Linked DNA regions of Mus musculus: regions 1, 3, 4, 5, 6 and 7 are each reported to be linked to region 2. Evidence: microRNA targets listed by miRTarBase, many of them from high-throughput screens and not tested one by one. Region 2 holds a microRNA gene; each other region holds the end of a gene's coding sequence.

Evidence for each region. Region 2 holds the annotated microRNA mmu-miR-298-5p (GGCAGAGGAGGGCUGUUCUUCCC, at 1,381-1,403, opposite strand). A microRNA usually pairs through its seed, bases 2 to 8, with sites in the 3' UTR of a target mRNA and lowers its output. Matches are read on the target gene's strand: a 7mer-m8 pairs with bases 2 to 8, a 7mer-A1 pairs with bases 2 to 7 and ends in A, and an 8mer does both.
Region 1: miRTarBase lists Knop1 as a target of mmu-miR-298-5p. The part of its 3' UTR that is shown has no 7-base or 8-base seed match.
Region 3: the mRNA of Piwil1 is a reported target of mmu-miR-298-5p. Seed matches in the 3' UTR shown: 7mer-A1 at 669-675.
Region 4: the mRNA of Gls is a reported target of mmu-miR-298-5p. Seed matches in the 3' UTR shown: 7mer-m8 at 1,874-1,880.
Region 5: miRTarBase lists C5ar2 as a target of mmu-miR-298-5p. Seed matches in the 3' UTR shown: 7mer-m8 at 1,168-1,174.
Region 6: the mRNA of Tfb2m is a reported target of mmu-miR-298-5p. Seed matches in the 3' UTR shown: 7mer-A1 at 1,064-1,070.
Region 7: the mRNA of Plin3 is a reported target of mmu-miR-298-5p. Seed matches in the 3' UTR shown: 7mer-m8 at 2,681-2,687.

The regions. Positions count from the first base shown.
Region 1 is chr7:118,842,590-118,846,966 of GRCm38, forward strand. Knop1 (lysine rich nucleolar protein 1) reads right to left here. Exons shown (of 5, transcript NM_023197.3): 5 at 1-3,505. The coding sequence ends at 3,194. Among named protein-coding and RNA genes, the nearest start is that of Iqck, 11 kb to the right of the region's middle.
Region 2 is chr2:174,266,173-174,270,549 of GRCm38, forward strand. Mir298 (microRNA 298) reads right to left here and starts at 1,413; the gene lies at 1,332-1,413. Mir296 (microRNA 296) reads right to left here and starts at 953; the gene lies at 875-953.
Region 3 is chr5:128,754,009-128,758,295 of GRCm38, forward strand. Piwil1 (piwi-like RNA-mediated gene silencing 1) reads left to right here. Exons shown (of 22, transcript NM_021311.3): 21 at 1-80; 22 at 185-1,466. The coding sequence ends at 301. It overlaps Rimbp2 (RIMS binding protein 2), which reads right to left. Exons shown (of 21, transcript NM_001378900.1): 21 at 3,783-4,287. Among named protein-coding and RNA genes, the nearest start is that of Gm42875, 14 kb to the right of the region's middle.
Region 4 is chr1:52,162,997-52,167,373 of GRCm38, forward strand. Gls (glutaminase) reads right to left here. Exons shown (of 18, transcript NM_001081081.2): 18 at 453-3,318. The coding sequence ends at 3,162. Among named protein-coding and RNA genes, the nearest start is that of Stat1, 46 kb to the left of the region's middle.
Region 5 is chr7:16,233,770-16,238,146 of GRCm38, forward strand. It overlaps C5ar2 (complement component 5a receptor 2), which reads right to left. Exons shown (of 2, transcript NM_176912.5): 2 at 818-4,205. The coding sequence starts at 4,189. The coding sequence ends at 3,155. It overlaps LOC115486844 (a small nuclear RNA gene), which reads right to left and starts at 1,095; the gene lies at 969-1,095.
Region 6 is chr1:179,525,386-179,529,709 of GRCm38, reverse strand. It overlaps Tfb2m (transcription factor B2, mitochondrial), which reads left to right. Exons shown (of 8, transcript NM_008249.5): 8 at 356-1,656. The coding sequence ends at 533. Among named protein-coding and RNA genes, the nearest start is that of Smyd3, 9.5 kb to the right of the region's middle.
Region 7 is chr17:56,276,486-56,280,862 of GRCm38, forward strand. It overlaps Plin3 (perilipin 3), which reads right to left. Exons shown (of 8, transcript NM_025836.3): 7 at 4,257-4,377; 8 at 2,477-3,588. The coding sequence ends at 3,247. It overlaps Ticam1 (toll-like receptor adaptor molecule 1), which reads right to left and starts at 282. Exons shown (of 2, transcript NM_174989.5): 1 at 209-282.

The DNA.
Region 1 (4,377 bases), not on the chromosome of region 2:
ATTGATACAATTTCTTAAAACAAAAACCAAACCAAAAATGAGCAGATGAGGCGAAGGATATGGCTCAGTCAGTGGAATGCTTGCCTGGCAGACACAAGACCCCACATAAGACAGAGTGCCAAGGTGCAGACCTAGAACGGCAGTAGTTAGGAGGTAGAGACAGGAGGATCAAGATCTGATCAAGGTCCCCAGTTACATGTTTGAAGCTGGTCTGGGATATATGAGCCCCAGTCTCAAAAACAAAAACCAGATGCTAAAAAATGCCTTTCCTCCTGCTGTGAACATGCCAGAACCCAGAATGCACTATGGTGCTGTTCAAATACTCCCAAATGGCCTTTATTTCACCAAACTGTTTCTACTAAAATTATTTTATGTCACTTTCACTGTGATGCTAATTCTTTCAAAAATAACTGGCAAATTCATAAATAATCCTTTGTACGTTACTCTCCTGCCTCAAGGCTGCCCAGGATAACAGCATAAGCAGCTTACACTGGCCTGGGGAATTCCCACTGCTTGTGTTAACCTCGGCTTATCCTCACACTGGGTACACATACCACGGGGCTCCTGCAACAGTCTGCTGACCTGGGCAGAAGTGTTACTGACAGTCCAGTCTTTGAAGCCCGCCTCCACAAACAGCATCTACTTCCCCTGAGAAGGACATGTAAAGAGACTTTTAGGAAATGAAAAACAGGATGCCTCATGTCCATCTGTGAGTGATTCCTGGTTCTTATTCCTTTAAGAAATTACAAGCACAGTGACTTCCTGTGGTTTTACTGTCTTGACTGCTGTTGGTCAGAACTCACTGGTTTCTCTGGGCTAGGTCAAGGTATCCCCATGTCTAAGTTCTTTTGTGGGTACTCTGGTGGAAAGAGATGCTGCATGGCTTCTGTACGTTGCCTGTGATCTTGGCTTGTGGCCTTTTCCTTCCCAAGTGTCTTCCACACTAAATCTTCTGCTACGTATCAGTTAGGGAACTGTGAAGAAAAGAACCTGCTCAGGTTATCAAGGATCTGATTTCAAATCTATCTGATAGCCAGTGGTGGCTGGAAGCCAGGCAGCAGTGATGTATACCTTTAATCCTAGCACTCCAGGAGGCAGACAGGTGAATCGCTGTGACTTTTAAGGCTAGCATGGTATGGTCTTCAGGGCTACACAAAGAAACCCTGTCTCAAAAAAACAACAACAACAATAATAATAGCAGCATGTGATTAGTGACTTTAATTTCCCTTCTGCTGGGTATGTGTGTGTCCTGCCTACCATAACCCAAGTAGTACTAAGAGCAGGGACACCTGTGTCTGAGAGAGCCTTTTCACAGGTTAGTCTGGTTGTACATGTAGCCTCAGGGCAGGGCCTCATGGGCCCAAGCAGATATAGCACAGAAATCAGCTCAAGCACAAGTGTTAAGAATCATGAGATTTTGGTGACTGTTGGACAAGGATATTGCTTAAGTGCCACCAAGCTGGTAAGAAATGCCTGAGAGAATCAGTCAAGTTCAAGGTTGTGTTAGATCACTGACCCTACCTCCAGTGCCTTGGAGATAGACTACAGACTTCAATTCTTAGAGAAAGGTGGGCTAGTGGAGCACCTAAGTCAACGCTGAGGTACCAAGCTACAAAATCAAGTCTTTCAGCACTGAGGTATGTGTAACAGCTAAGAAAAAGATCTGGCTCTCACACTTTGATGACAGCTTCCAAGGCATATGTGACATAAGATAGAAAACCATCTACCACCCGTAAGATTGCCATGTGCAAGTTTTTGATGAGCTGAGACACTTAGGCTGGAATGTGACTTGTGGGGAACACAAGCTATTGGAGTTATGCAGATGGTTCCCAGAGTTCACCAAGGCCGAGGGAGATTTGTCTGGAAGTTGACTCAAATGCAGAATTCTGCCATTGACGTGACTGGAAGTGGTCTTTTCTGAATCTTGAGGCTGAATTGATGAGAAGCCAAGTTCATTCCAGGAAAGTGGTGTAAACAGGTCTTTGCCATACATATGGCCTATGCCCACAGGACAGGAACAAGGTAGGGGGCACAGCAACACCTCTGCTGCCCATTTGGCAGTACTGCACACCTCACCCTCTCCCTGGCTGGCCTGAGGGGCATCTCCTTACCAAGGGGGCTGATACAGGAAAAACTACAAAGCTGAATGACGCCATCACAGGTTCCCTGAGGGACTGCCGGAAGTTTCTTTAGTTGTAGAGAGGGTTTTCTCCCATCTCTGGAATGCTGGGAATTGTCTCTCATCTTCTTAGCAGCATGAAGGCATCAACACTGATGACGGTGCTGGAAGGATGAATGAATGTCCTGGCTGAGTGCAGCATCAAACACCTCCATCCCCACCCAGTGTTTCTGCCTGTGAGAAATCAGGCCAAAACAGGAAAGTAACCTTCTCTGAACCTTGATACCAGACTGCCAATAGCTGGTGGGAGAGAAAATCATGTCACATGGGTCTCTGTATCAGGAGCTCCATGAAGATTGCTGTGATTTGGGAGGGAGGGGTGGGAGGGTATGGTGCCTGCAGCAAAGTATCTTTTTCTCCACCCCTTATATGTTTGATTTCATCACACAAGTGTCCAAGGTCTTCTGTCTAGTGAACACAAACACAAAACATGCTGCTGAGAATCTGTCATGGGTCCATACGCAGGATTACCTACTGTCCAAAATGCCTTGAGATCCAGCCAATACAGCAGCATCAAATCCAAGCACAGCAGTCAGATGGAAGGAGGACGGCTGGAAAGAAGCCAGCTCAGAGGTACTGGCCACGTCTGCCTGCTGCACCACACCTGCCTCCTGATAAGGGAGAAGGAAAACAAACTTGCAAGTCATGGCATATCACTTGCTTTCTGCACTGATAATTGAGTGACTCTGGGTGATGTACTCTTGATGGCACTTAACGGAAGGTGACCCTAGGCCGTTTAATTACTTTATTTATCCCTGAACTTGATAGAGATGAGAACAGCACCCATTCCATAATTAGTGTAACAATGCAAGGAAAATAGTCAGGACCCTCCACGTGCCAACAACTGCTAGCTACTATTAAAATACTGTCACCCGGAGGTGGAATGTTTAACATAGAAAATAGGAGGCTTTAGCAATTCCTATTGGTCCTCAATAACTGCAGGTGACTATTTCAAGCCAACTTGACGGATGCAACTGATCAAGAAATGCAGTTTGAAGAACAAGACAATAATATTTAATCTTGCAACTTGATAGACTTGGAGGCATTCCGGTCAATGTAGAAGACCTTTCGGGCCTCAGAGTTAAAGCCCAGGCCAGCCCCGTGGCTGTACTTCCAGCTCATGGCCCGGTCATAGTCCTGCTGCAGACTCTGCTGGAGCATTTCTGAAGACTTTTTGTCCAGGGCCATGTTGGACCTGATAGTCATGCTGGGAGGGCGGCTGAATGACGGGGACAGATGCTTAAAGCCACCCATAAGCTTCAGGAATTTTAGCTTCTGTTCTTCATTTTCAAAGCCGGCAGTATCCCACTGGCCAAACTGGGTTCCCTGTGTGGAAAGTAAAAGGCTGTCATTGCCCTTGAAGACCAAAGCTTCCCTCACTCTCAGCCACGCAATGAACTGTCTCATTCAATATGGCTACTCATTCCCACATTACAGGTGAGGAAATGAGGCCTAGAGCTTAATGGGGGTGATAATATTCAGATGATTCCCAACTCGGGAATGACCAGCCTGAGAGCCCATCATTGGCTTCTAACAAATATCACTGCACACCAAGCTAATCTGTGCTCTACCTTCTCCCAACACATGGTGATAGCAAGAACACTTCAAGATCTCTATTGATTTTTCTGCTGCATGTGCTTGGCTGGCCACGAGCTTCCAGCGATCCTCCTATATAGCCTGTGTTGTATACTGATCCTCTGACTTTAAGCAGTTCATTCTGAGAGGGGAGCTTATTAAGACCGAGGAAGTAAACAACTCACTAAGTCTTAGGCAATCCTGAAACTTGGCAGGTTCATAAGGCCCCTCCCTCCTCAAGGCTACATAAGCAGTAAGGACTGCATGTCTATTGAACTGCCTGCAAGTCATATAGAATGCTCCAGTGCTCTAGCCTTCATGAGATGTCCTTCATGCTAGGGTAGACTTGGTAATGCAGCTGCCTTTCAGCTATCACGCTCTTCTAAGTAACCCATACAGGATCCTGCAACCTCAATTAAGCTGTTTATCAGGCTTTGGTGGTATCATTGCTTTGGTCTGACATTGGCTCCCTATGTGGAATGAGGATATGTTTTGTACCTCCATATATCAGTGTCACGCAACAGACTATCACTTCATAGGCGTTCTGAGATCACAGACACTTGTGCTATGTGTCTGGCTTTCACGTGGCTTCTGGGAATTCCAATTCAGGACCTCATGATTTT
Region 2 (4,377 bases):
CTGTTCCCCCTCCTACCCCCCATCCCTCCCTCCCTCCCTCCCGCCCTCCCTCTATTCAGAGTTTACTGTACTCTAAATGAAAGGTGCTCCAGCCCTCTTGCAGTTGAGTTAAATCTAATTAATGGGAAGAGACACTAAGAAGCAAGATCAAGCCAGGTGTGTGCTAGAAGCAAGCTGGTGAAGTGGGATGAGTGATGGGCACACCAGGCAGAGCTGGGTAGAGCGCAGAGCACAGATGAGAACAACACCAAACAATCTTTCTTCGTGAATTTATTAGGCAGATACTGTGTCACACTTGGGAGAGGCTGGGTGTGAGTAACTCAAAACTGGGTGCCTGACACCCTCCCCCCCCAGCTCAGTCTTACAGGGGTGGTTCACCAAAATGCCTTCTAGACTGGACACAGCAGTTTATGCCAGAAATGCTGGAGTCTAAGGCATAAGGATTCCAAGTTTTAAGGCCAGTATGGATAATTCAGTGAGATCTTGTCTCAAAAATAAATAAATAAATAAATAAAAAAGGGGGGCTGCCATGAAGACCGGTGTGGATCTGACTGATGTCCATCCCACTCCTGTAGGAAAGAAAAGATAAGTGAAAGGAAAGCAAACAACCACATCAAGGAAGGTCTGGTGCTAGGAAGCAAGTTTCCCAGCCAAGGATACAGAAGAGTAGGGAGATACTACACAAGGTGGTACAAGCCCAGGGAAGCAGGGCACTATTAGCCTAGAGCAGACAGGGTGGGGTCAGGTCTCTGGTACCCCATGAGCACTAACTGGGGGGCAGGACTAGTCTAGCAGAGGCTGCCACTGGGATCAAGCCAAAGACAGCAAGCATTCTCTAGAGCCCCAAGGGACTACTTACCATGCGACGCTCTGCGGACACCTTCAGGAGAGCCTCCACCCAACCCTCTGAAGCGAGCACAACAGGATTGAGGGGGGGCCCTCCAGAAAGGCCCTCTTGTCACCTTCCACATAGGCTGTTCTGTGTGCACACAGATGGAGATCCCCTCTTAGGGGCCCTGCCTCTGTCTCCCCAACCCCAAGACCCTAGGAGGGTCTCTTTCTGTAGTCTCGAATGCCCACTAACCTGGATCTTGGCCCGCTCACCCGCTTCCCAGCTACGTGCGCTCAGAAGCCACTGCATCGACAATGGGAAGGTGGCAGTCTTAGTAGTAGGCTCAGGGCATTATGACAAGACCTCAAAGTTCTCCATGGCTTTTAGAAACATCTATCTCTGACTCCACCAGCTACCTTGATGGGTGGGGGAACTTAGAGGATGAGTTCCGTGTGTCAACCAGCAACATTCTCCTGGAGATCGGAAGGAAGCTGTTGGCCCACTCCTAAGCTGAGAGAAGGCTAGTTCCTCCCAGTCATAAAACTCAAGGGAAGAACAGCCCTCCTCTGCCAAAGGCCTGGGCCTCTTATGCCTCTTGGTGTCTCTTTCAAGCACGGCAGGAACGTCCCAGCCTACCTCAAATAGCTGTGGTGCTCAGGAAGCAGTCAATTGGGCAGGAGCTAGTTAGTGGGGGTCCAGAGACACTCATCTCATGGCCAGATCTGTCTATGACCACTCCATCCAATGGACTCACTCACTTGCATGTAGTAGCACAAAGAGGGCCATGGTGTGGCAAGTATCCTGTACAGTAAACCCTCTTGTTCTATCAAGGTGCCATTATGAACCAATCAAACCATTTCTAAGCAGCCCTGTAGATTCCCACGCTCCAAGAAGGATCCACCTTGCTGGGCCTCTGCTCCAGCAAGACCCACCTCCCAACTCAAATGCCCCACCCCATGGGTGCTGACTGGGTCTCTGTGAGGTGAAAAATCAATCCATACCTGAGGAGGAAGAACCCCCAAGTTCTCCTACTTAGCAAACCTTTTCCTCAGGACTGAATGTTGTGCTCACAGCAGAAGCAGCTGAAGAAGTGCAGGCTCCAATCCTTGAGGCTCCCCATCACACAAGGCTTCAAAGGCAGGACTGTGCTGAGAGCTCAGAGGTGCTTAGAACAGAGAGATGGGGTAGGGAATGTTAAGACATAAACAAAACAGACACACAGCCGCTAAGGTCATAGTTTTAAGCTCTTCAACTTAATGGTTCTGTCCTAGTAGCCAAACAGCCATCAGAAGACATATTTATGGGCAATCTTTTGGCTACTGTCTGACCATGTGAGACACAAGAGCCATGTTTTTGAAAACACAGGTCCTTTTCTAATGAATGCAGGTCGTTAACGAAATAGGCTTGGAAGTCATCTTCTAAGGCCTTTGTCCATGACCCTAGACAAATCATCTTCCCAGAGTTCACTTGTACGGGGCCCTCAGCCAGGGCAAGCACTGAGGACAAGAAATCAAGTCTAGAGACTTCAGAAAAGGCTTCCTTTCTCTTTTCTGAAACTCTTTGGTTGAGCAGAGAAGAGAGACGGAGCAGAGCCATCATGCTCCCACGGGTGCAGTAGAGCAACAGTGGGAGGCAGAAGCAAACAGAAGAACAGTGAGGCCCATCACAGAAAGACACATCTGATGGACACCCACCCACCCTTGATCCCAACCATCAACATGGACAACCAACCCAGGCACCCATAGGTAACAAGGCTGGGACAGCTGGGGATGGTGTCAGGCCCAAGAGCTGCTCAGCACAGAAGGGTCACAGGAATCCTGCGCTAAGTGGCTCTCAGAAAAGGGGTGCATCACCACCAAGCTGTGAGGGGCTGAGGTACTTTGTACTCCCTCTGAAGTCCTCCCCCCAGAGGAAGAGCACAGTTTTAGTGTGAGCCCTTTGCGGAGTCCTCTCCCCTCTGTGCAGTTGTTCCCAATACATCTGACTTGGCGGCTAGAGATGTGGCTCCAAGTGTTGGCCATATAAGCCCCTTTCCCATCACTCAGAAAACAGAGAAATGCCAGGAGGTACACGTAGCTCTCCAGGCTGCCAAGAAGGTGAGCTGGTGACTTTAGAGGTGCTGCGAGAGAAGCTACTGTAAGCGGGCCCCATCATCTTCAAGGACACTCTAGAGTTGTTCCTTCAAAACTGTGTAGCACTCAGTCCAGCTCTCAGCTGCAAGGAGAGAGGATGCTCTGTATCTTCACTTGGGGTGGATGTCTGTCTTATCTGTCCAGCAGACTACAAAGACCCATCCCTAGCTACAGGCTGAGTTGCAAAAGAGCTGAAGATCCCACAAGTACGAGGGAGGGTGCCTCTTGCTTACACTGTCAGAGGCCCCAGAGAAAGCCTCTCTGACTTGACCGTTTCGGTGAACATTGCCCCAAATCCTCATTCGAGGGTAGCTCAGACCTCCATCAGCCCCAGTCACCCCTCAGCTTCTGCTCACATGAAGAACCACTTGACTCCTGAGTGTACCAGAGCCCCTGCAAGGGCAGCTAGGAGCCACGAGCCACTCCTCCAAGTAGACACCTCACATGTGGCCCTCAGTGCTTGTTAAGTGTGCTCCTATGTGCCTTCCTATAGCTCCCAGCCAGCTCATCCCAAACCTATGCCCTCAGCCCCAGCGGCTATCTCCCTCACAGCTCTGCTGCACCGAGGTCTCTGATGGCCTAAACTCAGCTCAGCCTAAGTATCATCTTGGACCCCCTTCAAAAGGCTTTTCAGTGCCCGCCAGGGTTGGAAAATAGGCTCTGGACACCAGCTACCCCCTCAGTCAGAAGCGGGCTTGACTCCTACTCCTCAGCGAGGTGGCCCTCGGCAAGTTGGGAGCTCGGCTGCAGCTAGGCTTCTCTCTAGTTGCCATGAAGTTGAAGTGAATTAAATGAACACGTAGTCCCCCAAGGCCTAGGCCTCTGCGCTGCAGACTCTACAAACAGGTCAATAAGAATGAGGCCTTCTGAATTACTAAGGCTGAGCTTGGAGCAATAAGCAACTCACACAGCGACATAGTGACACAGTGCCATCCTGAAGCCCACAGGACTTAGGCCTTGGGAGATAGGGATCAACCAAGTCTCACTGTTTCCAAGAAAAATACCTTTTCCCAAGAAGCAAGACTGAGCCGGGGAGAAGGAAATGGAGGGAACCCAGGAGACATAGGGTAGAGATGAACACAGGAGCCTCCTTCCCTGTCTGCTCATATGCTGAGAGAGGCAAGCTGCAGATACCAGGACCTTCTTGGTGACTTCTATCCTCTCTATGCCAGGCTAGGCCCTACTCAGTTGGGGTGAAGGGAGGCCCAGGGACAGACAGCTTAGATGTTTTGTTGCCATGGCAATTGCCTAACTCTGTGGTACAAGCCACAGGTTACTAAGGGGCCACAAGGAGGGAACCAGGCAACTGTGCTGGATTATCAAGCCTATCCCAAGCCCCAATGGAAGTTCATTGTTTATCCCCTGGTCTTCTCTTTTGCAGACCCAGCTTATGTTCATGAACAAGTCTCAGCC
Region 3 (4,287 bases), not on the chromosome of region 2:
TCTATGACAGCAGTGGCCTGAAGCCCGACCACATCCAGCGGCTGACATACAAGCTCTGCCACGTGTACTATAATTGGCCTGTGAGTGTCCTGCTATGGACCACCTACCCTGGTTAGCATGCTGTGGTAGGGACCCTGGGAGTCCCGCCCAACTCAGCCCAGTGACTGGCCCTCTTTCCCCACAGGGAGTCATCCGAGTCCCTGCACCTTGCCAGTATGCACACAAGCTGGCCTTCCTCGTGGGCCAGAGCATCCACAGAGAGCCAAACCTCTCCCTGTCCAACCGCCTCTACTACCTCTAACCAGCAGCGAGGGCCGGCATGCTGGTTTCCTTCAGAGCTCTGCCAATCCTTCAGTTCTATTTTTCATAGGATGAGGTTCTAGCGGGATGTTGGGGGTAGGGGTTGGGGGCCGCTGTTTTGTTTTGTTTTGTTTTTAGTTGTTGGTGTGTAGCGGCTATAGAGTTAACTAAGGCTTATGTTTGCTTTGTTTCTCATGGTGTGTTGTGACAGTTTGCTTGGCAGAGTGGTGGCAAGGGCCGTGGTACCACAGATAGACTTTCCTAAAGCAGCCGTGTTGGCAGGTTCTTGGAGGTGCTCCTGGGAGCACCTCCTATTGTACGCTGCTCTCTCTCTCTCTCTCTCTCTCTCTCTCTCTCTCTCTCTCTCTCTCTGCATGTTTGAATTTAAAAGAGGAAAGGACACAAGGCAAGAATGCCCAGAGCATCCTAGATGGGTGCTATATGGGACTCTGACACCTCAGGTTCTTAAAGATAAAAAGGCCAGAGGTACCTTTCTGTAATTCTTTTAAGAGTTAGGTCATAAGGAATGAAAAGAGTTACTTTTCTCCCTCCATGAAAGTGTTTTTTAAGACTGACAAGGCCGGTGGTGGAGTGAGTGTTGTTGTTTTGTTTCGCAATTTTCTTACCAAGTGAAATTACTGACCATAATTTTATTTAATAGTTTTTAGTTTTTGAAAGCCTGTGTTTTCTTTGCTTTTAAACTACAGGCGACCACTCTGGGATAGGATTCCACTCCCAAAAGTAATGTGTTGGGTGTGGTGGCACACGCCTGTGATCTCAGGACTCAGGAGGTGAAGCCAGGGGAACCCCAAGTTCCCGGTCAGCCTAGGCTACATAGTGAGACTTTGTCTTAACAAACAGAAAAAAAGAAAAAGAAAGAAAAAAAAAAGAAAGAAAAAAAAAGAAAGAAAAATGGAGCAGTATGAGTTATGGGTGCCAGTTTCTGCAGGAGACTTTGGGAGTAAGAGCTGCCTCTGTTCCTAAGAGGCTGCAAGGCTGCGGCTGGGGGGCCAGTTCAGGTGCCAGGTGAGGTACGGCCACATCTATTTGCCTGGCTCTTTGACAAAGAGAGCAGCTTAGAGTGGCTAGAGTGTGATGAGTTTTACACAATGGCGATGTGTGTGTGTGCCCCTGGCACAGCTCAATAAAGTTTCTGTCTCACTTTACTCTTGTGGGCGTCTCTGTGGGATCTGGCCTTATCAATGTGTTTTGTAAATGAAAAGCACGTTTGTTTCCTTGTTCTAAAAGCCAGCTCTGGGGGCTCATGGCATGCAGCCTTTAACCCATCCCATGTCTGACACCAGAGGGCAACAGGCATCATAGCCTCTCAGGCCCTGAGAAAGGAAGTACAGTTTTAGGGTTTCAAACTCAGACTTGGGTGCCTAAAGGGTCAGCCACAGCTTTATTCTCCAAGGATCAGCAAGGAGGCTGGAATCTCCTTGGAGCTACAGCATACCTCTGACCACCATTTCCAGAAACTTCATGCCTGTAACTGTGCTTGCTCAGGTTGTTCTAGAAGGGGTTTCTTCTTTCTCTCTCTGATGTCTCTACCCAGTGTCAGCTGCTGGGCATCCCTTGGCCACTGGCCATGACACAAGCCCTGAGCTCTGGGCTATACTAGGAATGTATGGAGGGACAGGCACAGCTCGTTTGTCCTCAGATATGGGTAGGTGCTAACTGGCCATGTGTATAAAGTCTAGCCTGTCTTGCCTTGCTATAGCTGGACTAGTCACATGAGGTACAAGGTAGTCAGCCTTAACTGGAGCGAATACCCCTTCTTCAGTTGGGTAGGAGAACCAACCTGGTGGTTTCCCTGGGACCCAAACGTCCAGGGTAGCAGAGCCACCCAGCCTCAGATCCATGGTGGAACCACTCAGATCCCAGAGTGGTTTCTGTGTGGAAGCCTAAGATCCCACCCTTCTGTCACCATAGTTGTCGGGGACAGACACTAGACCTTGGTAGCCCCGACAAGCTGAACTCAGTCACCCATCTCCCCAAAAGCCAAAGAACAGACACGTTACAGTGAATACCACAAAGGGGAGAATGACTCACCATGGCCACCCTGGAAAGGAAAGAGATCAGTGACCCAAAGCCACCCTTCTCTTCGGAGCTCCAGCCCAGTGAGGGTGTGGCTGAAGCCCCTTTCTTCTAGGCAAGGAAGAGCCTTGATTGTGAGAAATTCATATTTACTTTCAAGCAGGAGGTTGGCAGCGGGTATGTGTGTTAATCTTGTTCCTTATCACCTTTGATTTATGGCTGTAGTTTGTTTGTTGGGCGGAGGGCATTGTCAATGTTATCACCAAGACTCGAGTGAGCAGAATGGTGGTTCCTCCATGTGGACCCAAAGGGACTCAGACCCTCCATGGAACCCCTGGACCTGTCTGTGATGGTGTCAGGAGAGCTAAGGCAGGTGAGGAGCAACACTGTGTCTCTACTGCCCATTGGGTGCAGTGCAGTGTGGCCAAGCTGCCTCCCATGGGTGCCACCCCCAGTCTGTGGCCAGAATAAACCCTTCCTTTAGAGCATCGAGAAAAGTCACCAAGACAGAGAGACGTTTATCCTCGTGATCGTGACTGATTCTTTCCCCCTTGTGAGAGTTATGTCTACATGTGATAGGTAAGTTCTACATGAATAACATCGTGGCTGTGGCTTTAACTGCATCAGTGTGTGTCGGCCCATGAGGTGGTGGATTTGAACTGTTATTTTCATCTTGCCATAAATGGTCTGGTCTTAGCTCTTTGAACAGTTTTTACTGTTAAGGGTTGAACCTAAGACTATCCCCCAAAGGCTGGTGTACTCAGGGCTTGGCTGCCATCTGAGGAGCTCTCTTGGGAAGTGACCTGATGGGGGGAGGGGGATGGCAGCTTCATCAATCTGAGTGAGTTCATAGCTGAACAGGTTCTTAGGAGCTGTTGCCTGGCTGGATAAAGTGGCTCAGTGGGAATATGGCTTTGTGGGGGTGTCTATCCCCTGGTCCCTTGTGCTTTCTGAAGAGAAAGCACACACTGAAGAGAGCATCCTTTCTCTGCCTTGCCCTTGCATTTCCTCACATCCCAGGAAAAATATGGCCAGTAGAACTGAGCTTGCAGAGGGAAACCTCCATAGATCTATCTGGGAAGTCAGGCTGCATTAGCTGTATTGAGTCTGTGCGGTTCTTTAGTAATATCCTGGAAAAGATACCAGGGGTGCTGTTAAGAGGTTTGGTATGAATCCACACATTCAATAGATTCTCGTGGTCTCTGCTGTGTGTGCGTGTCTCCGGTAACACAGAGACCCCATACTGATTACTGCTGTCTCTTTTCCCATGAAGATTGCCACCAGGATTGTCATAGAAGTGACTCCCAGAACATGGCTCAAGAACATATTTTAATTGGTCCCAGAAATCCCAAGCCCACAGAGTTCTTTAGGGATGTGTAACAGAAAGAAATTCCATTTCCCTGCCATGATAAGAGTGTTAGGAATAAAGACACAAAAAGGCATAATGTTGTACAAAATAACAAAGTTTATTTCTAGAAAATATGTCACCCTAGCTGTACACATGCACACACCCGCACAGTACTTCACACACCGAGGAACGACCTTTTAATCAATCTACCACATACAATTATATTACAATGTACAATATAGTTTCTGAAGACGCACAGGGAAAGCTTTGCCATTCATTTACAAACCTTCCAGAAATTACAAAAGAAAGGCAGTCTGAAAAGTATGTATAAAGAAGTAAAAACAGTTTACAGTGGACAGGAATTACAAAGTTGTGGCCATCCCATCAGCCAGCGTCTGGGGAGGTTTGCTGTTCGAGGCTAATGATAAAGATGGGTGTGGGGTGTCTGAGAGATTTCAATTTAGGCTCCTTCTGGTCTGGCTAATGAAGCGTGTGGTGGCTTTGCTATGTGTGCTGTGGATGGTGTCTCGGGGCAAGGCATTTCAACAAATAATGAAAGGAACAGAAAGCTAAAAGCCACAGGATAGGACACTAAAGGCAAA
Region 4 (4,377 bases), not on the chromosome of region 2:
GGCGTGCACATAACTGCTGTGGAGTTAAAAGCTAACTTTACACCCAAGAGGAAATGTTTCGCCAAGAACAGGGCTTTTGGGTATTGATTGAAAGCATGTGAAGAATTCGGGGGGAGCTCCAGCCAGTGCAACTCAGATCCCAGTGTGATCGGATTGGACCAGCTCTCGAGGTAGATTTCAGTGCTCTGTGGAAACATGTCTTCATTCAAGGATACTTTCCATGGCATGGTGTAAGAGCATGGTCTGAGCTTCTAGAGGACTGAGCTAGCCTGTCCACTTCTAACCTTCACAGCTAGGTCTTCAGTTCTCATCTTGGTCTTGTGGTCCAAACTTCCCACCCAATTCTATGTGCCTGCCTCACAGCAGGCTGGATGTAAACCAGCTACAGACTTCCAACCCAACAGCCCAGAGAAAACCTTAGTTATTAAAAAAGAAAACACTTTTTCTCATAGTTTGTTTTCAATACACATATTTATTATGCTGTAAAAAGCAACACTACCTGATCTCATTTAAAATAAGTATTTCCCAATTCCAGAATACTTGCAATTTATAGTTTTCATTTTGGGAAATGTTGGAAGTAAATACATTCATAGTTGTGGACTCCCCAGCAGGGATCTACATCAAACATCAGGTTATCAAGTCCCTGACGGACAGCTGGATCAACAGTATACCCAGCTCTACAGCTAAAGCACGTGTAGGCAGCACTGGGGTATAGCATATCACCAGACAGGGGTGTCAGAACCAAGACAGCAGAAACAGTGGCATAAAAAGATCTTCAAAGCAACATGATCATGTAATGGTTCCAGGATACAGAAAAATTAGCTAAGATTGTAAAGCCAAAACAAACAGATCTTTGGAGTTTACAGATGGTAGCAGTTAGCGGCTCATTCACACACACACAGGGTCCTTGTTATTATCAGCCAGTAGCGAACAGCCAGAGCAAGACCTGGCACAGGAAAGAGCATACTCAACCAAGCCACAGAGACTGTACAAAACAGCACTGAGCTGAGAGAAGATGAAAACACCTGTCTCAAAGAATATACAGAACCATGACTGGAGGGGATCCTCAGTCACTGGCAATATTTAAGTTACTGAATCACAAAAAGCCAGCCGCTATTGAAATAGCATTATCTCAGTTGATTCCAAAAAAACCATGTTCACCCATTAATTTTGGAGGTTGTCCCTGCGTAGGATGTTCCCAGTGCCACCTATGCACCTGTCTTGAGGGGGTGTGGAAGAAGCAACATAGCAACAGGGCTGGCTGCCCACCCACCATCCTCCCCACAGACTCTGGAACTTAGAAACACACTCATGGTGCCTGTCCTAGTGAAGGAACATTAGCCACAGTTTCATCAAGGGTGGAGCTGGCTAGGGAATGGAGGGGGTGGCTGAAGCTGACTTTGACTGAAACAGGATCAAAGCAGCTGGAGGTTACCGGGTGAATAATGTGCCACCAGGCATAAAGCAGGGATGCAAGCAGTGCAGGTAGTGAGGGTCACAGAAGACGCTGTATTACTGTCATAACTGCTAGTATCTGTGCACTTGAGAATTTTGCTTATTTCATAAAGCAGTTTCTTCATAAAGCAGTTTCCAAGAAGTCCGTGTGTGTGTGTGTGTGTGTGTGTGTGTGTGTGTGTGTGTGTGTATGCCAAGTGTGCATGCACTTGTGTGCAAAAGTCCTCACTAACATACCCTTTATCTCTTGGAGGTATAATAGGGTAGGTCCAGTATGTGGGACTCCTAGATAATTATGTTTTTTGTAAGGTCGCTTTTACCTATTATCTAAGTTAATCATAAATTACCTTTCCAAAGCAAAGAAATGGTGGGTCTGCCAGGCGTGGTAGTTTGCACCTTTAATCCCAGCACTCGGGAGGCAGAGGCAGGCGGATTTCTGAGTTCAAGGCCAGCCTGGTCTACAAAGTGAGTTCCAGGACAGCCAGGGCTACACAGAGAAACCCTGTCTCGAAAAAACCAAAAACAACAACCCAACCCAACCAAACCAAACCAAACAAAACAAAACAACAAAAAAGAAACGGTGGGTCTAAGTTGAAAATGAAGTGATCTTATTGAATGATACAGCCCACCAACAGTTAGGCAGTAGAGGAAGAGAAGATACTCAGGGCCTCCCACAAAGGGGTGCTATCTTGATGCAGACATTTGACAGCAGGATTCAAAGTAAGTGTTATTTGTAGCTTTTCCTAAATATATCGTTATAACTTTGGTAACTGAAAGCATTTCTGAACTTTTCTTTATTGTAGAAGCTGAAAAGAACTTATAAGTGTGCAGTTTCGCTGTCTTTACTCTTAAGACTGACGATTATTTTAGATGTCATAATTTTGGCTCATCTTCCTTAGATAAATGGCCAAGCTCTATCTCTGATGGTAGAGATGTGAGGCTTGATGGCTTGCTGAGGAAACATGAAAACTGCACAGTGAGCCAGTGCTCTCTTTCCCAGCTGAGGGGGACCGACAGCCACGCAGCACAGAGAGGCTGGCCCAAGCGTTGTATGGAAAGGAAAAATTTAAAAGTGCTAGAACTATATTCACACATACGTTTTGGTCACCAAACATATCTTAACAGATTCCCTGATAAAATCTAATCAGAATCGGCCTGTTCTATGAACAGTTAGTATCTATTTTAATATTTAAAGAGTCACACTCTGAAGTGAGGGTGATAGACATTTTAAACACTCAACCATACAAGTGTAGTGGTCTCTCAAACACTCAAAACTAAATCTGTATTTAAAGTCTTAAAGATCACACTATTTTCACCTAATAACAGCATCGACCCCGTGGACAGACTGTACAACAAAGCTCACTCCTAAGTGCATATGAGCGTATCATCACCAGGGCTTGAAAATGTACAGAACGCAAACCATGAAGACCACACAGTTCAGCTGGCATTGGTAACTACTCTTTTACACCACATTGTACAATGCACGAGGTAACTATTGCTCACATTATGAAGGGAGGCTGCTTCATTTCTATTTTTTTCCCAAAGAACTCAGATTTGTCGTGTGCGCACAATGAAGGAAGCTCCGGTAACACTGCAGTGACAGATGTTGTAAATACACATTACTACCAGATAGAAATATACAATGCTCTCCATAGTCATGTTCCACAATGACTAGGTAAGTAATGGAAGTCTTGGGGTGCAGACCATTATAGCAACCCGTCGAGATTCTTGTGGACAGTCTGGTTTCCCTTTCCATCATCAGAATCCCCTTGAGGTGTGTACTGAACTTGGTATTCCTGAAGGATTTTAAAAACATCATGGTGTCCAAAGTGTAGTGCTTCATCCATGGGGGTATTATTCCACCTGCAGCACAGCAGACAGGGTCGTTAGTCAAGGAACTGCTGCTCGGAGACAGTGCTCCGGCACCCCCAGGTTTTCCATCCAAGCTCCACGGCTGTTGACGTTCATCTATACTTTAGCAGTATTACAAGTGAGACTCCCCCACCCCCCAAAACACACAAAAAAGTTCTTAGAGTTCAGACACTGGTGTGAGAGAGACATCTTGATAATGAGGATAATGGAATGCGTTCTATGAAAAATTCTGTTTCCTCATCCAAATGCTAAAAGAGGGGCCTTTGGAAGCCAAGTCTACTGTTGACCGGTATTTACAAACCAGGTAGTGTAACATCATCCTAACCTGTCACAGGAAGCTTATGTCCCTGCGCATTCAAAAGTTACAGCAAGCCAGAAGTCTTCCAGGTTTCCAATAACTTCATGGCATTAAATGCATGTTAGATGAACAAGCTGCGCCCAGAGGAAGTGACCCTTTCATCACAGCAAGTAAGGGAAGGAAGCCGTGGGCGTACCCGGCCCACTGCCCGATCAGAACTCCTAGTCTGCACTGGTGTGCTCCAGCAGTGAGCAGCTGAGGTCTGTGGAAAGGCGCGGGCGGCATTGTAAAAGCCCCAGAAAAGGCCAGGCTTGCTGCTCAGCCGCTGGGTCCTCACAGCCCGTGGAGCCTGTCCACTCAGCAGCCCCTGCTGGCTCCTCTCCTCTCCATTGGCTCCTGGCCCCAGTTCCCATCCCACCGCCCTGCTTTTGCTTCTTTCCATCATCCTGCGTCTGCCCAGAACCTTTCACCTAATTAATAGGTCACAATGCGAAGCCAAACAGAAAGTGCTTAATTTCACATCTGAAAGGTTCCTGGTAGCCTGCTCTTCATTTTAAAAATCAGGTAAGTCAGAAACTTTACACATCTCTGTTTCTCAAGAGGCGGCTACTGATTTTCCCTGCCGTGTGTGTGTGGCTTTTCATTAGGGAGCCTAACATGATCAAGTATTTGTGTCAGCTTCTGGGGAAACTGCCAGGTCATCTTTACATTTCTTCCATGACACAATGAAAATTCCACCTGCAACGAATACA
Region 5 (4,377 bases), not on the chromosome of region 2:
GAACTCAGGACCTCTGGAAGAGCAGTTAGTGCTCTTAACCACTGAGCCATCTCTCCAGCCCAATAAGTCTCTCTTGTATGGCTATTTCTGGAGAGACATGAACAAACATTTACTCCTGCCATATAGGGAACTGATTGACAGTCCAAAGTAAGGGTGTCACTAAAGTCCAATAAAATGTTTTCCTTTCTAGGAGTTGCTGTGGTCATGGTGTTCCTTCACAGCAATAAAACTCCAAGACACTGTTTGAATGAGCTTGGTGTCTTAGTTAAGTTTTACTGCCAGCTTGACACAACCTGGGGTTGCCTGTGTAAAGGGAACCTCACTGAAGACTTGCCTTCATCAGGTTGGCCTGTGGCTATGTCTGTGAGAGAATGTCTTGACTGATGTGAGTGGATGAACCCACTGTAGGTGTCACCATACTTAGGCAGGTGACCCTGGGGTCTGTAAGGAAGCGACCTGAGCATGAGCAAAGAGCTAGCATGCAGACAGTGCTTCTCCATGGTTTCTGTATTCAAGTTCCTGTCCTGACTCCCCTCAATTAGGAATTATGATGTAGCAGTGTAAGCTAAATAAACTCCTTGCTCCTTTAAACTGATTTGGTCCGAGTGCTTTATTACAGCAGCATAAAGAAAACTACAGCACTTGGGGAAGAAGGGACCTGGTGTATGTGGTCAGTTTCAGGAATATCCTGAGACTTGTGAGTTGTTTACATCCTGATTCTTAAGCAGTGTAACTTGTTTCAGTTTGGAAAAATTATTGCACAGCCGTCTGAACCAGAGAAAGCTTAGAATAAACAACAAAACACAGTATTTTTTAACATCAAGAGATTTTATGTATAGTTACACAGAAAATACATTTGGAAGATCTCATGAAATTTCTCCTTCATTGTTTTAAGACTAAAGAATTAAATAGAAACTCTCAAAGTGTACTTTCCTTTTCTTCTTTTTTTTTTTGTTGTTTTTGTTTTTTCTTTTATTTTGTTAGATGCCACGAAATAGGTAATAGGCAATGCCTTAACCGTATGTGTGTTGTTAGGCCCAAGGCCTCTTCCATCCTTGTCAAGGGGGAGTGCTAACCTCTCCTTTCATACAACACCAAAGTGTACTTTCAAAAAGAAATTTTTGCCAGGCAATGGTGGCGCACGCCTTTAATCCCAACGCTCGGGAGGCAGAGGCAGGTGGATTTCTGAGTTCGAGGCCAGCCTGGTCTACAAAGTGAGTTCCAGGACAGCCAGGGCTACACAGAGAAACCCTGTCTCAAAAAACCAAAAAAAAAAAAAAAAGAAAGAAAGAAAAAATTTAAAAGACCTTCTGAAGAGGCTCTCTGGTCCAGTAAATTAACCAAAACTTTTTTGAACTTTTCAGACAGACAGATGTATACATTGTTCAAGGAGGGTTTGGGGTGGAGCTCAGTAACAGGACAGCTTCCTAGAGTCCCCCTGTGAGGAAATCCAGATGTCGCTCAATTGATAGAGCATGTGCCTAGCATGCATGAAGCCCTGAGGTTGATCACCAGCACCCCATAAACTAACGTGTGGTGATACAGACTATAATCCCAGCATTCAGGGGATGATGAAGGTCACCCCCTTCATAGTGAGTTCAAAACCATCCTGGGCTCTATGAGACCCTATCTCAAAAAAAAAAAAAAAAAAAAAAATCAAAAAAGAAAACCAAGACCAAAGCCAGGCCCTAGGGATCTGTGGGGGAGAGTTGGCTGGACACAGTATGCCATAGGCGTTAAAGTTCTGCAAACCTGGAGTAAGGTGGGGATCTACTCAATGTACAGCATATACCTGTATGATTTTTAAAAAAAAATAAAATAAAATAGTTTAAAGATCCTCGAAAATAACAAAAAAGACACCAGCAACACAAACAGGCCCACTGAGCAGTTGAAAACAATCAGAGTGTGGACAGAGGAAATGCAGTACTTTCTAAGACAGAGGAGGGGAGAAAGAGACAAGACGGAGGAGTTTGGGGCTGGTGAGATGGCTCCGCCAGTAAAGGTGCTTACAACCAAGCCTGACACCCTGAGTTCGATCCCAAGGACCCATATGATGGAAAGAGTTGTCCTCTAACCATCGTCCCACCCCACCCCTACTCCCTCCATGCTTTCCGACACAGGCAATAAATAATTAAATGTAATACCAAAATATAAAAGATAGAGTGAGTTCCTCTCTCACTCTTAGGGGACTTAGGATTTATCTGGGCATTTGTGTTGAAGAGATTGCAAGATAGGAAGAACCCTTGTTTCTGGGAGGGATGCAAGTCAGGGAAGGCTTCTTGGAAGAGATACCCCAGAGCAAGGCCTTTGTGTTTGCTCTGTCTGCTTGGAATAGTTCCCCAGATTTAAGCATGGATGCTCAGGTCCATTAGTCAGGTTTTGGCTCAGTCATTACCCGTTGTTCAGGGTGCTAGCCTACCTGACCTAGGCTGTCCAACCCTGTGTAGTGTGTGTGTGTGTGTGTGTGTGTGTGTGTGTGTGTGTGTGTCCCTAAGGTTAAGACTGGATGTCTTCATCTGCTACTCTCCACCTGGATCTCACTATGTAGATCAGGCTAGCCTGGCTCGACCTCCCAAATCTCCATCTGGACCTCACTACGTAGATCAGGCTAGCCTGATCTCACTATGTAGATCAGGCTAGCCTGGCTCTACCTCCCAAATGCTGTAATTAAAGTTATCACCACCGTGCCTGGCTCCACTCTATTTCTTGAGACAGGGGTTTGTTGATTGGGCTAGACCACTTGTCCAGAGAACCCCTTGGATCCACCTATTCCCTCAGTGCTGGGGTTAGAGGTGAATCACCATACACAGCTCTGTGAAGGTGGTGGGGCTCAAACTCAGGTCCTGGTTTGTACAGCAGGCACTCGAGCAGTCTCCCCAGCACCCTCTTTGGGTTCTATGGAACATCTCAACCTTGACATAGTCCATATCCCGTCAAGTGTTTCCTATACGTCTTCTTGTGTAAACTGCTAACTCCTGGGGAAGGAATTGGCTCCAGCCACTGTCAGCCCGGGACCTTTATATCAGGGTTTTGAACGAGCAAGTGCACAATGAATATTGAATGAAGAACAAAAGCCATCTCCGAGCTCCTGCATCCAGCTATGCTTGAAGCTGCACAGTTGTGCGATGGCCTAGGAAATCCAAAGCCCTCTTGCCTACACCGGCATCTCAGACACCATTTCGTGGCTGGTGGATATGGATACCTTGGTCACCGCACTTTCCTCATCCTGTGGATCCCTCAGGGCCCAGTGGCATGCAGCCTGGAGTGACTTGCAGAGTTGTTTTCTTCCGAAATACAAAAACATTATGGGATTGAGAGCACTGTGAGCCAGGGCCAGGCCATTAAACAGAGGCTCCGCCTCCAGGACCCGGGCGAGGAGCAAGGAGTGCGGAGGAGCCGCTGCAATGATTACCCGCAGGACGTGATAAGGGGTCCAGCAAATGAAAAACCCCACCACGACAGCTGTGCCCAGGGGCCAATGGCGGCGGGCCATCTGCCGTTGGAGGATGCCGTGACAACCGGCCATGAACACCAATGGCCCCAGGAAGCCAAAGAGGAATCGAACAGTGGTGATGGCAACCTCGGCGCTGACCGATCCCCCATAGTCTATGCCACACACAAGTCGGGGAGGATAGTGCTCCTGAAGCAGCCTACGGTAGACAGCAGAAGGCACAGTCAGCAAGAGGCCCAGCATCCAGGAGGAGGCCTGGACCACACGCACCCCAAATGTTCGATGATCTGCACCCTTCCAGGAGGGCCTGAAAGCCAGTAGGAAGAGGTCTCCGCTGAGGCCGGTCAGGAGCAGCACACTGGCATACATAGACAGAATGGTGATGGAGGACAACAGCCAGCAGCCTGCCGCCCCGTATGGCCAGTGGCCCTTTTGGGCGATGGGCACAGCCAGGAAGGGCAGAGACACACAACAAAGCAAGTCGGCCATGGTCAGGTGCAGGAACCAAGAGGCCCCAAGCCTGTGGCGGGACTCTTTCCAGGTCACCCACGCCACCAGGGTGTTGCCTGGCACACCCACCAGGAAGACGGCTGCATACAGCACAAGCAGGACTATCAGGTAGACATCACTAGTGAAGCAGGTGCCAGCTGGGCAGTCTACGGGCACGTCCGGAAGGTCACTGTAGTGTTCATGGTCATACTCATAGTCATAATACTCGCTGGTGGTGTGGTTCATCATTCTGGCCCCCAGACACCTGCAGGGGACAGGAGGGAAAGTCAACGGAAAACTCCAGCTTTGCTGTCCCCGGGCAAGGCGGGTCCAGCGGCTCCATGCTAGAGACACCAACACTGTGGCGCAGGGTGCCTGCACTCCAGGGTACCAGCATTCTGTGCCGGTTATTGCCAACTAAGGGATGAGCCTCTAGG
Region 6 (4,324 bases), not on the chromosome of region 2:
AATTATACCTTGTTAGAATTTCAATTGGTGATTTTCATTGCAGGCTAGCTGTGAATTTTTAAGAGTACCTGTCCCGGTCTCCTGGGTGCTGAGGTTATAGCCATAACACACTTATGTACACATTTCCTATCCAGACTGAGTGAGGCATTCATCCCTGTATCCCAGTACTGGGAGATTAAGGTAGGAGGGTCGGTTCAGAGTCGTCTCTGTACAGAGTGGAGAATACACATGTCATATATAAACTGTCAACTGAATTCAGTTATATGTGTTAGCCATTTTACTTGGACATAGGAGGCAGCTTTCTCAGCTGTAGCTGACAGTTGTAAAAGTGTGTCTCTTTGGTTTTCCTCTGCAGTTCACTGAGTACGGTTGATCCTATTAATATCCTGAGGCAGATAAGAAAAAACCCTGGAGACACAGCTGCTAGAATGTATCCTCACGACTTCAAAAAACTTTTTGAAACCATAGAGCAATCGGAAGACTCCGTCTTTAAGTGGATCTATGACTACTGCCCGGAGGACATGGAGTTCTAGGAAGAGTCTGCAAGCCGAGAGTGAGCTGGAGCTGTTTGTCCATTATTTTGAAATCATGTGACAAATGAACACTGAATTTCAAGAAGTTCATATCCTTTTAACAGAAGAGAAACTACCCTTGTTTGGCACAAATGAAGCAAATAATTTCTTCTCAAGTTGATACCTTTGATACACAGAAAACACAGTGGCTGCAGTATTATTCAAAGTTAAATAAAACGAAAACCTGTCAGTTTGATCAGATCAAATCTACTTTGTTTTAAAGTACTCTCTGCCGTAGATCAATGGTAGAACACATACCTAGTATGTCCAAGGTTTTGGTTTTGCTCCCTTGTAGACGCCCGACTCGCCAGCAAGAATGACGCCACAACAGGATTCTTTTGCACACGTTTATTGGGAGAGCTTGATAGCGAAAGCGAAAGACCCCGAGCCCAAAAAACCAGTGCTGCTTATATAGGCCTAGGATAGGTGTGTCTACACCTGATTGGTTATGCTTTCAGTACCTCATTTACATGCCTTGGGCCAGGCAGTGACTCTGCAAAAAAAAAAAAAACTCTACTGCACATGCGCACATTGGTTGTTTACCCATATTCATGGGCGTCAGCTTATTGAAACCAGTACCATCTTGTAATGGCGTTTATTGGCTTCCCATACTCCCTAGCACAGGAAATTTTTAAAAAATTTCTATTTACTGTAAAGGCCCATAGGTATGGAGTATTTTCAATTGTAATTTAATTTACTTTAAAAAAACAAAAAACCTTTGGGCCAAACCTCTTTAAATATGCACTTTTCACCATTGCCAATTGCTTGCATCTCCCTCAGTTTCTATACTGTTACGCTTAGAAAATAAATTGATTTGGGCAGACATGGTGGCATAAGTCCCAGGCCTTGTGAGGTGGAGGGCCCATCAGTTTAATGCCACTTTCAACTGTAGAATTGAGTTTGAGACCAGTTTAGGCTAAGAAAAGACCCTGTCAAGCAAAACAACGGTATAAACTTAGAAAGTGATCAGTTTATCTTTTATTATGTTGAAGTGGATTATCAGGCACTATGCAATCCAGTTGTTTAAATTTTAAATTGTAGTATGTTTTAAAACTTTTTGAGAAATAAAAGAATTTGTATATAGTTTGTGTGTATATGTGTGTTTTCTTTTTTGTTCTCCATATGCATGAGTGAAATTTTAAATTGACCCCAAACTTATTTTCAGTGTGCTCTCAGTGAGTAATTCTGTCTGTGTAACTGAAGTGTCTTGAGGCGCTGAGTGCAGTGACGTGCACCTGCAGTTGCATGGGTGTCTGAGGTGGGAGGGGTGAGCCGTCCAGAGTTGGAGACCAGTGTGGTTGTTGATGGGGTTGGGTGCAAGAGAACAAGATTTCCTCTCAACCATGAGACCTCTTGCAAGGTAGGAAAGTGGTTCCTTAGAGTTTGCTGTACAATCATGAGGACATAAGATGAGTTCCCAACACACATATAAAGCTGGGCAACTGTGGTAGGAGTACTGGAGGAGGACACATGGAGCTCATAGGAGGAGGACTCATGGGGAGGAGCTCACAGGAGGAGGACGCACGGGGAAGACAATCTACCAAGTCATGAGATCTAGGTTCAGTTGGAAAGGCTCTAAAGATCTTGTATCAAAAAATAAGCAATAAAGATTTGTCCACCACACACAAGCTTATGCACATATACCACACATAAAAGTATTTCTGTACATGAACCAATCTATCACAGCTATACATTTGATTTTGAGTGGCTGAATGGATTGAGCATGTATTAAGTACAAGAGCAAGGAGCAGGTAGTAGAGTGTAAAGCATCTTCAAGCCGAGTAGTGGTGGCGCACGCCTTTAATCCCAGCACTTGGGAGGCAGAGGCAGACGGATTTCTGAGTTCAAGGCCAGCCTGGTCTACAGAGTGAGTTCCAGAACAGCCAGGGGCTATACAGAGAAACCCTATCTCAAAAAAACAAAAACAAAAAACAAAAAAAAAGCATCTTCAAACTGAGCATGTGGAACATCCTGATTGGGGAAGCAAGCAAGCTAGCAGGATTAGACCAGGCACTTACAACACCCATAAATGAGGAGGGAAGCCCTGCTGGAGTAGGCAGTCCTGGAGTTTTCATAATTTTCTATAGATTTCCATAGTTTCCATAGATTTCCAGGCACAGGGTTCTTCTGTACATGGACAACTTTCTGACCTCTGGTTCCCATTGCTGCCATTTTTATATCATGATGAACAAGTTACCTCTTTTGGAAATGCTCTGCACTCTAGCTGTTCTCTAGAGCGCAGTGTTTTTAATAACCTTGGATGTTCTCTTTTATATTTGTCAGCCTGACCCAGGGACCCAGCCTGATTCAGGACAGGGACACTTTAACATGAGGCAGGGATGTGCTGGCTCTTCATTCCTGACTACTTCCACTTTTGTATTTTGTTTGTTTGATTTTGAGTCAGATCTCACTATAGTAGTCCTGGCTAGCCTAGAACTGAGATGACCTCAAACTCATGGAGACCCACTTGCCTCATCCTTTCTAATGCTCAGATTAAAGCCCCAAGACCAACCCAGAGTCAGTGACCATTTACCTATATAATATATTTTATCTCTGCCACATTTAATATTTCTACTATTTTTATAATCTGTTTTTTCCATATATTCTTGATCAATTGTTTGATCAACACCAGGCTTGCCTGAGCTTAACTCAGTTACACCTTGTGATAGTAGTAATCTATGAACACCATTACTATTTCCTGGACCACTGAGGTTTCCTGAATCTTAGCACTGGGATCAATCAAGAATTATGTGGTCCTTGAAAGGCATGCTCTAATCCAGTACTTGCAGGGCAAAGACTGGAGGATCTCCTTGAGTTCCTGGCAGGCATGGTCTACACAAGAAGTCTATGTAGCAACCAACAGTTCTTGACAAACAACAATTCTTTTTTTTTTAATTTTTTTTATTACATATTTTCCTCAATTACATTTCCAATGCTATTCCAAAAGCCTCCCACACCCCCACCTCCCCTACCCACCCATTCCCATTTTTTGGCCCTGGCGTTCCCCTGTACTGGGGCATATAAAGTTTGCCTGTCCAGTGGGCCTCTCTTTCCAGTGATGGCCGACTAGGCCATCTTTTGATACGTATGCAGCTAGAGACAAGAGCTCCGGGGTACTGGTTAGTTCATAATGTTGTTCTACCTATAGGGTTGCAGATCCCTTTAGCTCCTTGGGTACTTTCTCTAGCTCCTCCATTGGGGGCCCTGTGATCCATCCAATAGTTGACTGTGAGCAAACAACAATTCTAAACGTCGGGAAATCTGATTCCACCATCTCTTAGTGTTCTATTGTTGTGTAGAGATACCATGACCACAGCAACTCTTCTAAGAGAAAGCATTTAATCGGGTCTGGCTTACAGTTTTAGTTTAGTTCATTTTCAGCATGGTGGCATGCAGGCAGACATGGTGTTGGAGAGGTAGCTGAGAGTTCTACATCTATGACCACAGGCAGCAGACAGAAAGCCACTGGGTCTGGCTTAGGCTTTTGAAACCTTAAAGCCCAGCCCTACTTCCTCCAACATGGCCATACCTCTGAATCCTTCTCAATGCCATTCCCTGATGACAAAGCATTCAATCATGAGCCTAAGGGGGCCATCTTATTCAAACCACCACATACCATTAACCCTTTTAAGGTTTTAAGATTGACTTTCACAGGCAGTCAGCAGGAGGGCTTCTTCTGCACCAGGTGGAACTTGAGCATAGAAGGGACTCTCAAAGCCCATCCAATAAGGCCACACCTAATCCAACAAGGT
Region 7 (4,377 bases), not on the chromosome of region 2:
GAGGTTGGGGGGGGGGGGGGGTAACTAGGAACTGAGCGAGCACCCAGGGTCACAGGGCTGGTTTGGGAGTTAGGAGTTGGATTGCGGATCTGAGTATCCATGGGAAAGAACTTGAGGAACCTGGCAGCCTGCAGGTGGCCGGCCCAGCATCTATTCCCGACCCTATGCCCGCCGGCCCGCCGTCCTGTTCCCTCTGCCTTCATCCTACCTGGCTGTAGGGGTCTTGAGCTGGTAGATCTCCCGGTCCCTGGTGGCTGCTGGAGGAGGAGGAGAGAGAAGGGAGGAGGGAGCGTTCGGTTCCGCCCCTTCCTCCCTTCCGGGTCTGGGGGGGGGGGTAGGGGGGGGATGAAGTCAGCGTGTAATCTTATCTAGCTGAGCCAAGCCCTGCCCTCCCGCCCAGTGTCCTGGCGCCACGTGGAACTAGGCAGGACTTGTACTTTGTGAGGCCAGAGCTGGGGAAAGGAAGAAGGAACCCTCCGCCCACAGAGAACTTTAAGCTGTTAGCCAAAGAGCTCAGCTAGTGACATACTCTGGGGATTCGCAAAGCACCATGTGGCTAAGTGCACTGGGAACCTGATGACTCACACTTGTCAGTCCAGCATCACACAGAAAACTAAAGCAGAGAGATTGCCCAGAGTTCCAAGGAAGCCTGACCCACAGAGTGAGACCTCCATCTCAAAAATAAGTTCATACAAGATAAGTAAACAGAAGTGCTGGAGGCCACAAGGTTTTATACAACTGTTAGGTTGTAAATATTTTTAATTCTTTACTTGATTTTACTTGGTGTTGTGTGTATGTATGTGCATGCAGGCATGTATGAATGTAGGTCAAAGAACCGCAAGTACCATTACTTGCTGAGCCGTCACAGAGACACAACACAAAGATTTGTCGGAGATTTCTGGGTATTTACTTTTGAGAAACGGTCTGTGTATGCATACTGGGACTTGGGGCTATCCTCCTAGCTCAGCTAGATGGTGAGATTACAGGCATACTTTAAAGCTTTATTTATTTATTTTACGTATGAGTACACTCTGGCTCTCTTCAGATACACCAGAAGAGGGCATCAGATCTCATTACAGTCGGTTGTGAGCCACATCTGATGGATGTGGTTGCTAGGGGTTGAACTCGGGGACCTCTGGAAGAGTAGCCAGTGCTCTTAGCCACTGAGCCATCTCTCCAGCCCTATGGCATGTTTTAAAACTGATAAAACTAAATTGTGAAAACAGAAAAGCAGCAGTTCCCAGAGGACTATGACTGGAAGATGAGGTGCACAAAGGAGAACCACCCCACCCTCTTGCTGGGGAGTCTAGGCAGGAGTATCTGCCTCATGCCACTGAACTCAATCTCTCCCAGACTCTGGACACTCATCTCCCCAAAGCAGGTAGCAGACGGACTTCTCCACATTTTCATGCTTACATATGCACACGTATTTGTGTAAGTTGGAGGTTGACATCAAGTGTTTGCTCTTGGTCACATCTTTAGGAGACAGTTTCCTGAGTCCAGCCATCTCAGAAACAAGTTCTATCTTGCTGGCAGGGTCAAGACTGAGTTCATGTTCCCAGGCCCCAGAATACAACTCCTATCCTGCTTCTTAGATCTTTCATGTTTGTCTGTTAGCCAGTGAAGGCTGTAAGGAAGGAAGATGCTGTTCTCCAGTTATCCAAACTAAAGCACACAAGTCGTTAGTGTGTCCCTGCCTTGATTTAACTGACTACTGCGGCTCACCCACTCCTTTGGTCCTTCACCACACTAGATTCCAGGTCAGAGTCCAGGAGGGGACTAGGCTGTAAAAGCTGACTCAAGGACCCTGAAACCAGGTGACCCAGATAAGACCTAGTCACCAGTGTTAAGTCCTTGTTTAACCCTTTGTGTCAAGATATGATTGGTCAGTACCCAGGTCCCCTTCGCTTTGTGTTCCCATCCTATAAAAAGCGTCGTGCAGTCTCTCATCAGGGTTCAGATCCCCAACTGGCCACCTCCCTGCCAGTGCAGAAAATAAAGCTTTTATTTTTTAAGCTTCTGTCTCTGAAGTAAGTTTTCTCAGTTTCTACCGCAAACCAAACAACTCCAAGCACTTTACCACAGCAGGCAGCTCTCCTGCCCCGAGTTTTGCTGTTTTGAAACATAGTCTCAAAGTAGCCCAGGTTAGTTTCAAACTTACTAGGTAGTCAAGGATGACCCTGAACTCCAGATCTTCTTGTCCCCACCTTCCCTGAGATCAAGGGGAACAGACTGTGGGCATATTTGGCAGGCTCAGCTTGTCACACTGACCCTTCTCCATACATCACAGAGACGGAGGGAAAATAGGCAGCAGGCCCTTCCTGCTGTCCCCACAGGGTCACAAGTGATCACGTCCAACATTCAAAGTGGGAAGACTCGCACTGTGCATAGAGTAGAGACAGAAGGAAGAAGGTCTCTAGGGATGTCAGGGCAGCTCAGCTCCTAGGAAGGCAACACACATATACACCATCCACTTGGCCTCTGATGCATATAAAATTTATTAAGGCAATACTGAGCCCCAGGATTTGAGGAACAGTGTACTCGGCCCTCACTTTCTCATCTGAAACAATTGCAACATCCCAGCTGTCTATCCTGTCACAGTTGCTGGGTTCTTGGGCCAGGTATCAGGGTCTGTTAGAAAAGCTCTTGCTAGCCGGCCTTTAATCCCAGCACTCAGGAGGCAGAGGCAGGTGGATTTCTGAGTTCAAGGCCAGCCTGGTCTACAAAGTGAGTTCCAGGACAGCCAGGGGCTATACAGAGAAACCCTGTCTCAGGAAAAAAAAAAAAAAAACAAACAAGAAAAGCTCTTGCTATTGTGGGCCATGATGTAGAAAAGAAACCCGGAGTGAAAAATCATTATGCCTTTTTTTACTTCAAGACAAGGTCTAATGTAGCTTAGACTATCACTGAATTTGTGATGTGGCAGCCGGGCTTTGAACCTGTGACCCTCTTGCCTCTATACCACAGTGCTGACACAGGATGACAGACTAGTGCTATCACTATTCATTACCCTCATTCCTCATTTTTTTTTTTTTTTTTTTTTTAGGAAAAAAACATTTTTTTTTTCTAGAATGTTCTGGATCTTTTTACCCCTGGAACATTCTAGAAAAAAAATTGCTTTAAAAGACTGATGGGAATAGGTTAAACACATGTCTCATTCAGACTCAGTAGGGGAGGACCTGTTGTGCAATTGGACTGTTGGGAAAAGCAGTCAAGCCAGATAGATGTTGGCCCTGAACCTTCTCCCTACTTCCCTTCAGGGGTTTTCTCTGTGATTCCAGGAGCGAAGGGGCCCACCAGCCACATGGCTGGAGTGTTCTGGGCCACGTACTCCACAGTGTTGTCTAGGGCCTCCCGGGCTCTGGCTATGCGCTCCCGAGTTTGGGCAAGAACGCCGGCTGAGAGGTCCTGGAAGGAGTGAATGCCGGAGAAGGTGGCCTGAAGGTCGTTCACCTGGCTGCGGGCCTGCTGTGCCTGCTCCCTGACGTGGCTGGGCAAGCCCTGGATGCTGGCCCCCAGGGCCACACACATGCTCTGCAGCTGCTGGGTGATGTCCCTGAACATGCTGAGTGCCCGGGCCTCCACCTGCTGGAAGGGGGAGATTGGGGTGGGGTCAGGGTATTGAGGGCCAGTAGGGTGCAGAGCCCTGCTTGGAGGACAGGAATTTGGCTCCCTGAGTTTGAAACTAGAAGACAGACTCCCATAACCTTTTCAGAATAGTTAAGGTTTACAGAGAGACACTGGAAGATGCCTGGAATCTAGACTTATCAGAGATGAAAGCCACTGGGGCTGGGCAGGGAAATCAAAAGCCAAACAGCAAAAGTTAAAAACAAACCCCCCACCAAAATCAAAAAATTATAAACCCCAAATCAAACCACAATATGGGCACTATGAGGCCAGATATGGTACCGGGCTCACAGCTGTTATCTTAAAGCCAAGCCAACTCGCGAGGCAGAGGCAGGCGGATTTCTGAGTTCGAGGCCAGCCTGGTCTACAAAGTGAGTTCTAGGACAGCCAGGGATATACAGAGAAACCCTGTCTCGAAAAACCAAAAAAAAAAAAAAAAAAAAAAAGCCAAGCCAAAACCACCACCTTACCCCAGTAATACTAATAAAAATGCAAAAATTAAAAACCAAAGCCAAAACAAAATAGAATTCTGTCATGGTTTCTGTGGTTGCCCTGGGGACAGGAAGCATGAGTTATGCTGAACAGGGCATGGACACTCATATGGGGATCCCGGGGGCCCCAGCAGGTACCTCTGGCTTAGCTGGGTCCTTTTCAGCATCCTGTGGGGTCTTCTGGTTCCAGCTGAGCCACATCTGGTGCAGCTTCTCCTGCCCCTCCCCCAGCCTCTGGTCCACACCCTGTTTCACGGAT